Linked DNA regions of Notamacropus eugenii. The protein of the gene in region 1 interacts with the protein of each later gene in a pairwise test. Links are inferred from orthologs where the notes say so. Each region holds a gene or a part of one and is shown on either strand. Other genes may lie near its edges.

The links.
Region 2: the proteins of RASSF5 (region 1) and STK4 interact in binary tests that used the Homo sapiens proteins (3 or more experiments, as listed by UniProt). The link is inferred for Notamacropus eugenii from reciprocal best matches to the Homo sapiens genes RASSF5 and STK4.

Annotation. Positions count from the first base shown.
Region 1 is NC_092873.1:432,871,391-432,875,767, forward strand, and holds the start of RASSF5 (ras association domain-containing protein 5), read right to left. Parts: upstream 2,527-4,377; 5' UTR 2,463-2,526; coding exon 2,009-2,462; intron 1-2,008. UniProt on the Homo sapiens protein: Potential tumor suppressor. Seems to be involved in lymphocyte adhesion by linking RAP1A activation upon T-cell receptor or chemokine stimulation to integrin activation.
Region 2 is NC_092872.1:521,329,681-521,334,057, reverse strand, and holds the start of STK4 (serine/threonine-protein kinase 4), read right to left. Parts: upstream 2,826-4,377; 5' UTR 2,644-2,825; coding exon 2,609-2,643; intron 1-2,608. UniProt on the Homo sapiens protein: Stress-activated, pro-apoptotic kinase which, following caspase-cleavage, enters the nucleus and induces chromatin condensation followed by internucleosomal DNA fragmentation.

The DNA.
Region 1 (4,377 bases):
CCTGCCTTTCCTTGGCACTGAGGATACAAAGATATAACAAAAACTAAAAAAAACTGGTCTTTTCCTTTAAAGGGCTTCCTTCTACTGGGGGGATTTTTTAGGACACTTAACCCAGCATTCTCAGCACCAGATACTCCTTTATCAGCTAGTCTATGGAAGAACGAAAATGAAGATCTAGTCACTCAGCTGCACAGTAGCATGCATCTTCATATACATTCACATGTAAACACACATGTGAATATACACAAAGACATGTATACATTCCACCCATACAAGGTACCCCTAATACTACATCCCTGAATAAGTCAAAAAATAAATTTTTAAAAGTCACATGTAAGAGAGTCCAGGATCAATAATCAACTCTCAGGACCCTGCTCCAAAACAAAGCCATGATAAAGACACTTCCCAGTGGAAAAATGATTATCATCTCCATTTTTCTGGTGTAAAATGAAGGGAGAGCAGAGATAGGAGGGGATGGATGCTCTCTCAGGTGTCATCCACATCCTGTGATTCTGTAAGCCTATCCAAGTTGGGGTATCTGCCCTTACTCTGTAGCGAAAGGCAGACTGTCATAGGCATACAGCCTTCCACCAAGAGAATCAAGGAATACCTCCTGAAGAGTCATGGGGATATTCCACCTGGTTTCTCTGGAACATCAGAAGCATTTCTAGACAGAGGGAGGTTATGCTTCAGTGTTGGAGGAGCTCTGACAGCAGCCATAGCCATATTCTCAGCCATTAAGTACTCCTGCCTGAGTCAGACTTAAGGTCTTCCTCCTTTTTCCTCCTATAGCCCAGGAAAGGCTGCAGTTGGGATGCACAAATTAGAGTCTGTTGTGGTCTACAAAATCAGATGCACACAGCAGGGTTTTCACAGTAGCATTCTGAAGAACTGCTTGGAAGAAAGCTTCTGCCCAATACCACAGAGTCGGTGCTAAGGAGTCAAAGGCATTACCTGGAAAAGCATTTCTAGGGAAGGATTCAAACCACAGCCCACTTGTGATGCCTGTCAGAGGCTGTGACACTATTTAGGTGGAGAAATTTTTTTTAGATGAATCTATTAAATTCTTTGCCAAGAACTGCAACATCCTTTAGAAAATAAACATACCCATTAAAGAAATTCGTACTCTATACCAGGGTAGGGAAAATATGGAAAATAATACAGACAGACACCCAACATCACTGCAGAGTTCCTCAGAAAATCCATATTCTAGGTACCCAGTGATTTATTATGTATGTGTGCTGGGGGAGGGAGAGGAGTGGATAAGAGCCAATAGGGGCTCGGGAACTACAGAGGGAGGGAAACCACACAGAGCTGGATAATTTTAGAGGATGATAATAACTACTGCAGGAATCTAGGAGGAGGAGGAAGAGGAAGGCTAGCAAAACAGAAACAGAAGTTCAGAGATTTCAGAGATCATTGGGTGGCTAGGATCTTGGTTTGTCCTGGTATCTCAATCTATTTCCAACCACGGGGGGTGGGAGCTTTCCTCTACCCCTGCTCCAGTGGATATTACCTAACCTTCCAACGAAGGGAGGGGGAGGGGGTTTTGCCTATCCTAGTAAACAATCGGGCACGTCATTACCCCCTATGTACAACGGCCAAATCACAACAGCAGCGATTATACAGCCTATGGGTCATTAGGTGAGAAGCCACGAAGGGGAGGCGGGGGAGATGAGTGCCCAGGAGACAATCCAGTGCCCTTGGCTACCAGTCCCAGGCATTTCAGTGGGGAGATAGTGGGGTCCGATTTGTCCCGAGCTCCTAAATCCTTCCCCAGGCTGACACCAAAAGGTTCCAGATGTGTAACAGCAGTTACAGTAGACAAGACAAGGGACCCCCATATATGCCCTCCACAGGCTCCTTAAGGTCAGAGAAAGGGAGAAACCCTTGTCCCCGGCTTGGAGACGTTTCTCCCGGGCTGTCTCTCACCCCCGACCGCTAGCCCGCTGCCCTCTGCTCTCTGCCCACCTCCCCACGGCCCTCACCCCTGCCCGATCGCACTCACTGGCGCAGCGTAACGCCCGCTGCCGCACCTCCCGGCCGCACAGGTCACACCAGCCCGAGTCAGTCCGCAGTGCCAGCTCGGTGAAGCGGTGCCCCTCGCCGCGCTCAGCCGGGACGCGCGGGTCCCGCGGCTGCTCGAAGATGCTCCTCACGTCCGGGGGCCGCGGCGCCCCGGGGCGCCGCCGCAGCCTCTGCTGAAGCCCCGGCCGGAGGGAGCGAGGGAGCCTGGGGGGCCGGGGCTGCGGCTCCAGGCCCCCCGCCAGCGCCCCCCGCGCTCCGCGCCCCTCGTGCGCCCCGGGCGCGGTGGAGAGGGGCACGGAGCCACAGCGGCGCGGGGGCCGGCCGGGCCGCGGAGGAGACTCGGAGCCACTCAGGCTCTGCAGATAGCGCGGCGGCTCGGGGTCCAGCAGGAGCGAGTAAGGGCGCTGCCCGATGGCCGGGGACGCCATGGCCATGCCCGGCTTGCCGCAGCTCCCTAAGACTGCGACGCGACTCCCGAGCCAGCCCCAGGAGAAGGGCGGCCCCCGCCGGGCGCGCCTTTAAAGGGACCGCAGCCAGCGGGGAGGGCCGGGGGCGGGGAGAGGGAGGGGTGGGAGGAAAGGATCCACTAAGTGACAGAAGACTGACGGACCACCCGAAGCACTGGTGGGATGGGCCGTGGGGGGTGCTAGGTGTACAGCCCGCGGCCCCTTTTTCTTTGGGGGAGGGCCCCGAAAAGACTGGGCAGGTGAGGAGGCAGAGAAAGTATTTGGGCAGAAAGCCCCCTCTACTCTACTCCTACCACATTCTAGCCACACACGCGCACACAGACTCACATAAGCTCACACAAACAGACACAGGCACACACACACACAGACATACACACAGACGCACACACAGACACACACAGACAGACACACAGACACACACAGACATACACACAGACACACACACAGACACACACACGCACACACACACAGACTCACATAATCTCACACACAGACACAGGCACACACACACACATACGCTCACGCTCACACACACACAGACACACACACACGCACACAGACTCACATAAGCTCACACAGACAAAGGCACACACACACAGACATACACACAGACACACACACGCACACACACACACAGACTCACATAATCTCACACAGACACAGACACACAGACATACACACAGACACGCACACGCACACACCCCTCTTATCCCCAGCTCAAATCCACAGGATCTGAAACTTCTGGCCCCCCTCAGCCAACACATCAGCATGAAAAGGGAAAGGAGCAGTACTGTGACGGAACGGCCCGGGAAGGGTAAGGTTTGGGTTGGCGGTGGGGGATGGGGGAGCCGATAAGGAGGAAGACAGTAATATATCGACTGCAGTCTCTTCCCCCCTTCCCCCCTTCCCCCCTTCCCCTTTCCCCGACAGCCCCAGCCAGGAAGGAGATTTCTCTTCCTCCTTGGAAAATTTTCATTTCGACTAAAATCTTTGGCCTCTCCGGCTCCCCAAGAGAAAAAGCAGACGTGAGCCTGGAGAGCGAGGGGGTGGGTGTAGAACCAAACCCAGCGCCCCCACACCCCTGCGGTAAGGCCCTAGACGCTTGGAGCGACGCTGTTAGGTCCCTACTTAGGCTTCCTTTTCTTAGCCCGAGAAACTGTCTCAACTTGCAGGAAAGGCTGGAAAGGCCAGACTTTCACTTTTGATTGAAGTCTTCCTTCCCTCCTCTCTCTTTCCCCCCTCCCCCGTCTCAGTTTTGCCAAGCAGCCTTCCAGGCAAAGGGACCAGGGCAATCCTAGTAAGATATGAATGGTACAGGCGGACCCCTGAGCAGGAAGAGTCCTTCACCCCTGCAGGTTTGGTTTGAGTCCAGAGCAATTTCTCTTGCCAGACTGGGTTCACCTTTCCCCTCGAGTTGCCAAAGTAATCACTGTTCCAAGGAGCCAGTGACAATAGTTAGTATTTACACTGCTCTTTTTAGGTTTATAAACATTCTTTACATGTGTTCATATAAGATGCTATTATTATCCCCGTTTTTCAACTGAGGAAACTGAGGCAGACAAGGATTAAGTGACTTGCCCAGGGTCACCCAGGGAGTGTCTGAGGCCAAATCCAGTTCTCTATGCACGATACCCAGGGTAGTGGGGGTGGGAATAAGCCCCACTTTGTGCTTTCCATCAGCACCTTTTATATCATTGAAGTTTAAAGTACTCTGCAACCAGATAGGTTTCTGCCCACAGCATCCTAGCTGAGGGAAGAGGAAGCAAGGACCTCCATCCTCCTCTTTCTTGGAGGGAGAAACTGATGTAGAAGCCAGACTGGCTTCAAATTTAGGCATCTCATTTCCCATCCGAAAACAAGAGAGATGAATATCATCTGGTAG
Region 2 (4,377 bases), on another chromosome or scaffold:
AGGGATAGATTCTGAATTTCTGGTAATAAAGAAACAAAACATATCAACAATGATAAGATAAAAACAATTATTTTTAAAGGATAGGTAACTACTGGTTTCATCTGTATTTCCCCCAAAATTTTCAGACTGAAATTTTTACACCTGGGCATTACTACATCATCAATAAAGATTTCAATCAAAAAAGGTTCTTAGTAATTTAATTTAATACTGCTTCTCACCCCCGAGTTATCTTTGGAAAAATGCTACAGCTTTACAAGTCCCATGCATCTTTCCATTGACATCCAGAGTACCTTCAACCTTGATTTTCCTGAGATAGTGGAGCGTGATGACTTGACAGATAATTAGCATCAATGGCAGAATTTTAGCATTAGAGTTATTCTTTTACAGCAGAGAGCAACTTAAGACACTAACAAGGAGGTGCAAATTCCCAAATGATTCAGTCCGATCTTTTCCTCCTACTCAATTCGAAGTTCATCTCATTATCCATTCATAACATAACACTCGTCCAAATTTATCTATAATGATCAATTATCACAGTGAACTTCCTATTTCACTAAATGTTGCCTGGGCAACATATTTTTTTTTTCAGTGACTTTTGCTTACACATCTATACAGGGAAAAAAACAACCAAAACAATTAATGATTATGGATCTTCCTGCAGCACTCTGGAACTCAAGGTAATCAGAACAATGTCATGTATAAACATTAGCAGTATCAAGACAATCTTGCTAATGACAGGAAATCGCTCTTCTATTTGGGTTGTATGTAGGTTAGCTTCTATGACACTTGTGAACAATTTACAAGAACATGTGTCTTACTTGTTTTGTGAGATTGACACTTAGTGGATCAATGAAATGATCTCCCTAGGAGTGCCTATCATGGAATCTTACACGATTTTAACATTTGTGTAACATTTTAATCTTTATATGGAAATTTCTCATTTGAGTAAAGGTGTTAGGGATGCATTTTTTCTACCAATTTTTAGAAAATGATAAACACAGTAGAATCTTACATTTTTCTGTACTTCTTAATCAACTATATTACTATGAAGATGTAACTTGCTGTGGAAAGTCCTTGTTCACAGTCTACCCATTCCTCTGTCATGTCTTCATCAAGGATCAACAATTCTCAAAAGATTTTAGAAATGAGAAAATAAGCAAAAACATGTTGACAATGACTGATGTCTTCTTAATCATCTTTTTTTAAAATAAACGAACAATCTATTACTTTTTCTATTTTTCTGGAAACAGATGGACAGACCACATGCTATATTGTGATATTCAAAGAACTCCAGGAAGGTCTTAAGCACATTGAGCAGGTCCTTCATGGAGAAATTACAGAAACAAGAGAAGAATCGTACAAGATGAGAAAGCATCAATTTACTCTCTGAAGTAAGAGTAAGAGACCAGAGATCCAAAATATCAAGAGTTCTTAAACGCTTGCGCATAGTCCAAATGATAACCTGAAAAGTTACACATGTGGTTTTTTGCATATATTGTCATATACACTGTCACCAATCCTTTAAACCAGCCTTTAAACTTAGCCTCGGTGATCAGTCAGTAGTTCTGTAACTCGTACCGAAAGTGCTCTTTGCCAACATGAACAAAGTATGGGCACATGCCATCCAAAGAATCCTGAGGGTAGTATCAACAGTTTACTGAAGACAAGCTCTGAGTCTTAACTGTCTAATGTCAGTATATGTGAAGAAATTACTTTTAAACAAATGACTACTTTAAGCAAAGTAAAGTCGACCTTGCCTTGTCATTTCACAAATCACAAGTTTGAGCAAAGTAAGAATGCTCTTATTTCATTATCCCTGACACACGTGTGAGAACCTAACTCAGGGAGGCAAACAGCATTTGCTCTGTTACTGACAGGGCATTATTATTTCAGATCCAAAACTTCAGAAGTGGAAGGAACCTTAAAACACAGATAGAGAAGGGTCCTCAGAAATGTCAGAATCACAGATTTAGAAGTGCACACTACTTTCCCTTCTGTCCATCTCTGTGCCCAAGGTGGCAGACTGAATTTTAAAAGTCTATGAGGAGAATATAAAGAAAGCGCTTGTGGGTCACTTCAGACTCTAGCTCTGAAGGATGATAACTCAATCAGGAGGACAGTCCTCTTAATGCAGATCACCTAGATGTTTACCCAGCACCCTTCTCACTTCCCCAGTACTGGACGGGGAACCCAGCAAAGGTATCGTTCGGACTAACTCTTTCCCACAGGCTCCTCCTGCCATCCCTGGGCTCGTAGGGAGCCTCTCCTCCTCACGGTGAACCCCATCCACGGCCCTCCGGCCCCCACTTCGAGGTCTGCACAGTGTTCCCGCACTCGCTCACACACACGCGCGCGCACGCACACACACACCCCCTTCCTCTCACTCACATACACACATAGCACCTCTCTCACACACGCACTCTCCTCACCCCTCATTCACAACTCACACATTCACGCCCACACGGGTCCCCCTCCCACTGGCGCACAGCCTCTCCTCTCACACACACAGCCTCCTCCGACACACTCGCAAACGTAGTCTCCCCCTAACACACTCACACATATTCGTCTCCTCCCCCTTACACTTACACACACACACACACACACTCACCGGCGCGGCGGGTTCCTCAACTGCACCGTCTCCATAGCGCGGCCGCCGGCAGCTCGAACCTGCTACTGCCCCATCCCCAACCGGTCCCTCCGACACTTCCGCTTTCCGCCCGGGCCGGAAGTGGGGCTGGTGGGGCCGCCGCGGAGGGGAGGGGAGGGGAAGGGAGGGGGAGGTGGAGGAGGTGGAGAGGCTCCCAGTGGGCGGGGCCTGGATCACGTGCCCCTCGGGGGCGGGGCCGGGAGAGTAAGTATACCGTTGCCAGAGAGGCCCCGCAAGGGGGCAGCCAGGGGTCTGTACTAGTGCCTGGCAGCCCCGCGGCCTTCGGCGCCTCAGCCAGGGTCTCAGTGCTGGGCAGTAGAGAGGGCATGGCGATCACGCGGCAGCGACCCACGTGCCCATTTTACAGAGGGGGAAGCTGGGGCGGGAGAGAGGGGAAGTACTTAGTGCAAGGTCTCCTAGCCAGTAAGCGCCAGAGCTGCGATTCGAGCCCAGGCCTTCCTCCACGGTCCTAGGCCAGTGGCATCTCTGCGGTGTCGCCGTAAGCCCTGCTGCGGCAGGGTATGGTCCTGGAAGGAAGCGCAGCAGTCACGCAGTTGGACCCCTGATTTCAGGAGAGGCGGTGGGGCCCGGCAGGAAGGACGGGACGGCAGCTGGGGGTTCCTGGTCTGAGCTTATTCTAGGCTGGTGTTCTCGATGGGTGCACCGGGCACCTACACCACTTCCTAATCCCCCTTCCGGCAGGGGGGCGTCCACGGAGCCGGGCGCCCGCGTGCCCTGTGCCCTGCCCGTCCTCCTCCGTAGCCTCGGTGCCGCAGGTGGAGGCAGGTGCGGGCATTCCTCTAGGCATTCCCCACGTGCTGACCAGTGCCCACTCTCCATAAGGCATAGTGCCAGCGGTGCCATCATCGCTATCTCACTGCCTAGGACTGCCCACCGCTGTGATCCTAGGAGTGACCACCCGTGACCCTGGGGGCCGTTTAGGGAGTTAGCATCTAACACTCAGAAACTAGACATTGCCCTGGCAGCGGATCCTGAGACACTCCCCTCTGAAAAGACGACAGAATCCTCCTTACTTACACACAGCCAGTAATTATCTGGTCCCAGCCTGAACCCATGTCTCTTTTCATTTGGAAGCGACAGAGCTAGATCATATTTTTTACACGATCTATCTACCTCACAGGGCTGCTGCTGTAGAGAATGTGTTTTGTAAAATGCCAGATAAATAAGTTTTTATTCCTATCACTAATAATAACTCACATTTCTGTAATACGTTAGTGTTTATTAAGAGCTCTCCTCAATATCCTTGGGAAGTGAGTATTAAAAGAATTGTTGTTCAGTCATGTCTGACTCTGTGACTCCCCCTGGAGTTTTCTAGGCAAAGATACTGGAATGGTTGTCCATTTCCTTCTCCTGTGGATTAAGGCTAACAGAGTTTAAGTGACACAGTTAGTGAAGATCTGAGGTCAAATTTGAACTCAGGGCTTCCTGACTCTAGGCCCAGTACTCTAGCCACTTAGCTTCCTCTGTTGAAAGTATTATCTATTCCCATTTTATAGATGGGTAAACTAATGTTTAGAGATGCAAAGTGAGCTTCCCAAGGCCAATATCTAGTAAATAGAGGACAGTTTCACTTCAGGTTCAGATGTGACCACTCTCTTGGAATGCTAAATCTAAGAGAACAGTAATGGTTTCTTTAAGGTTATTGTAACCTTGACCTTTTATTTGATTTAACTTTTACCTCAACCTAGAGATCATCCTTGGTTCCAAGG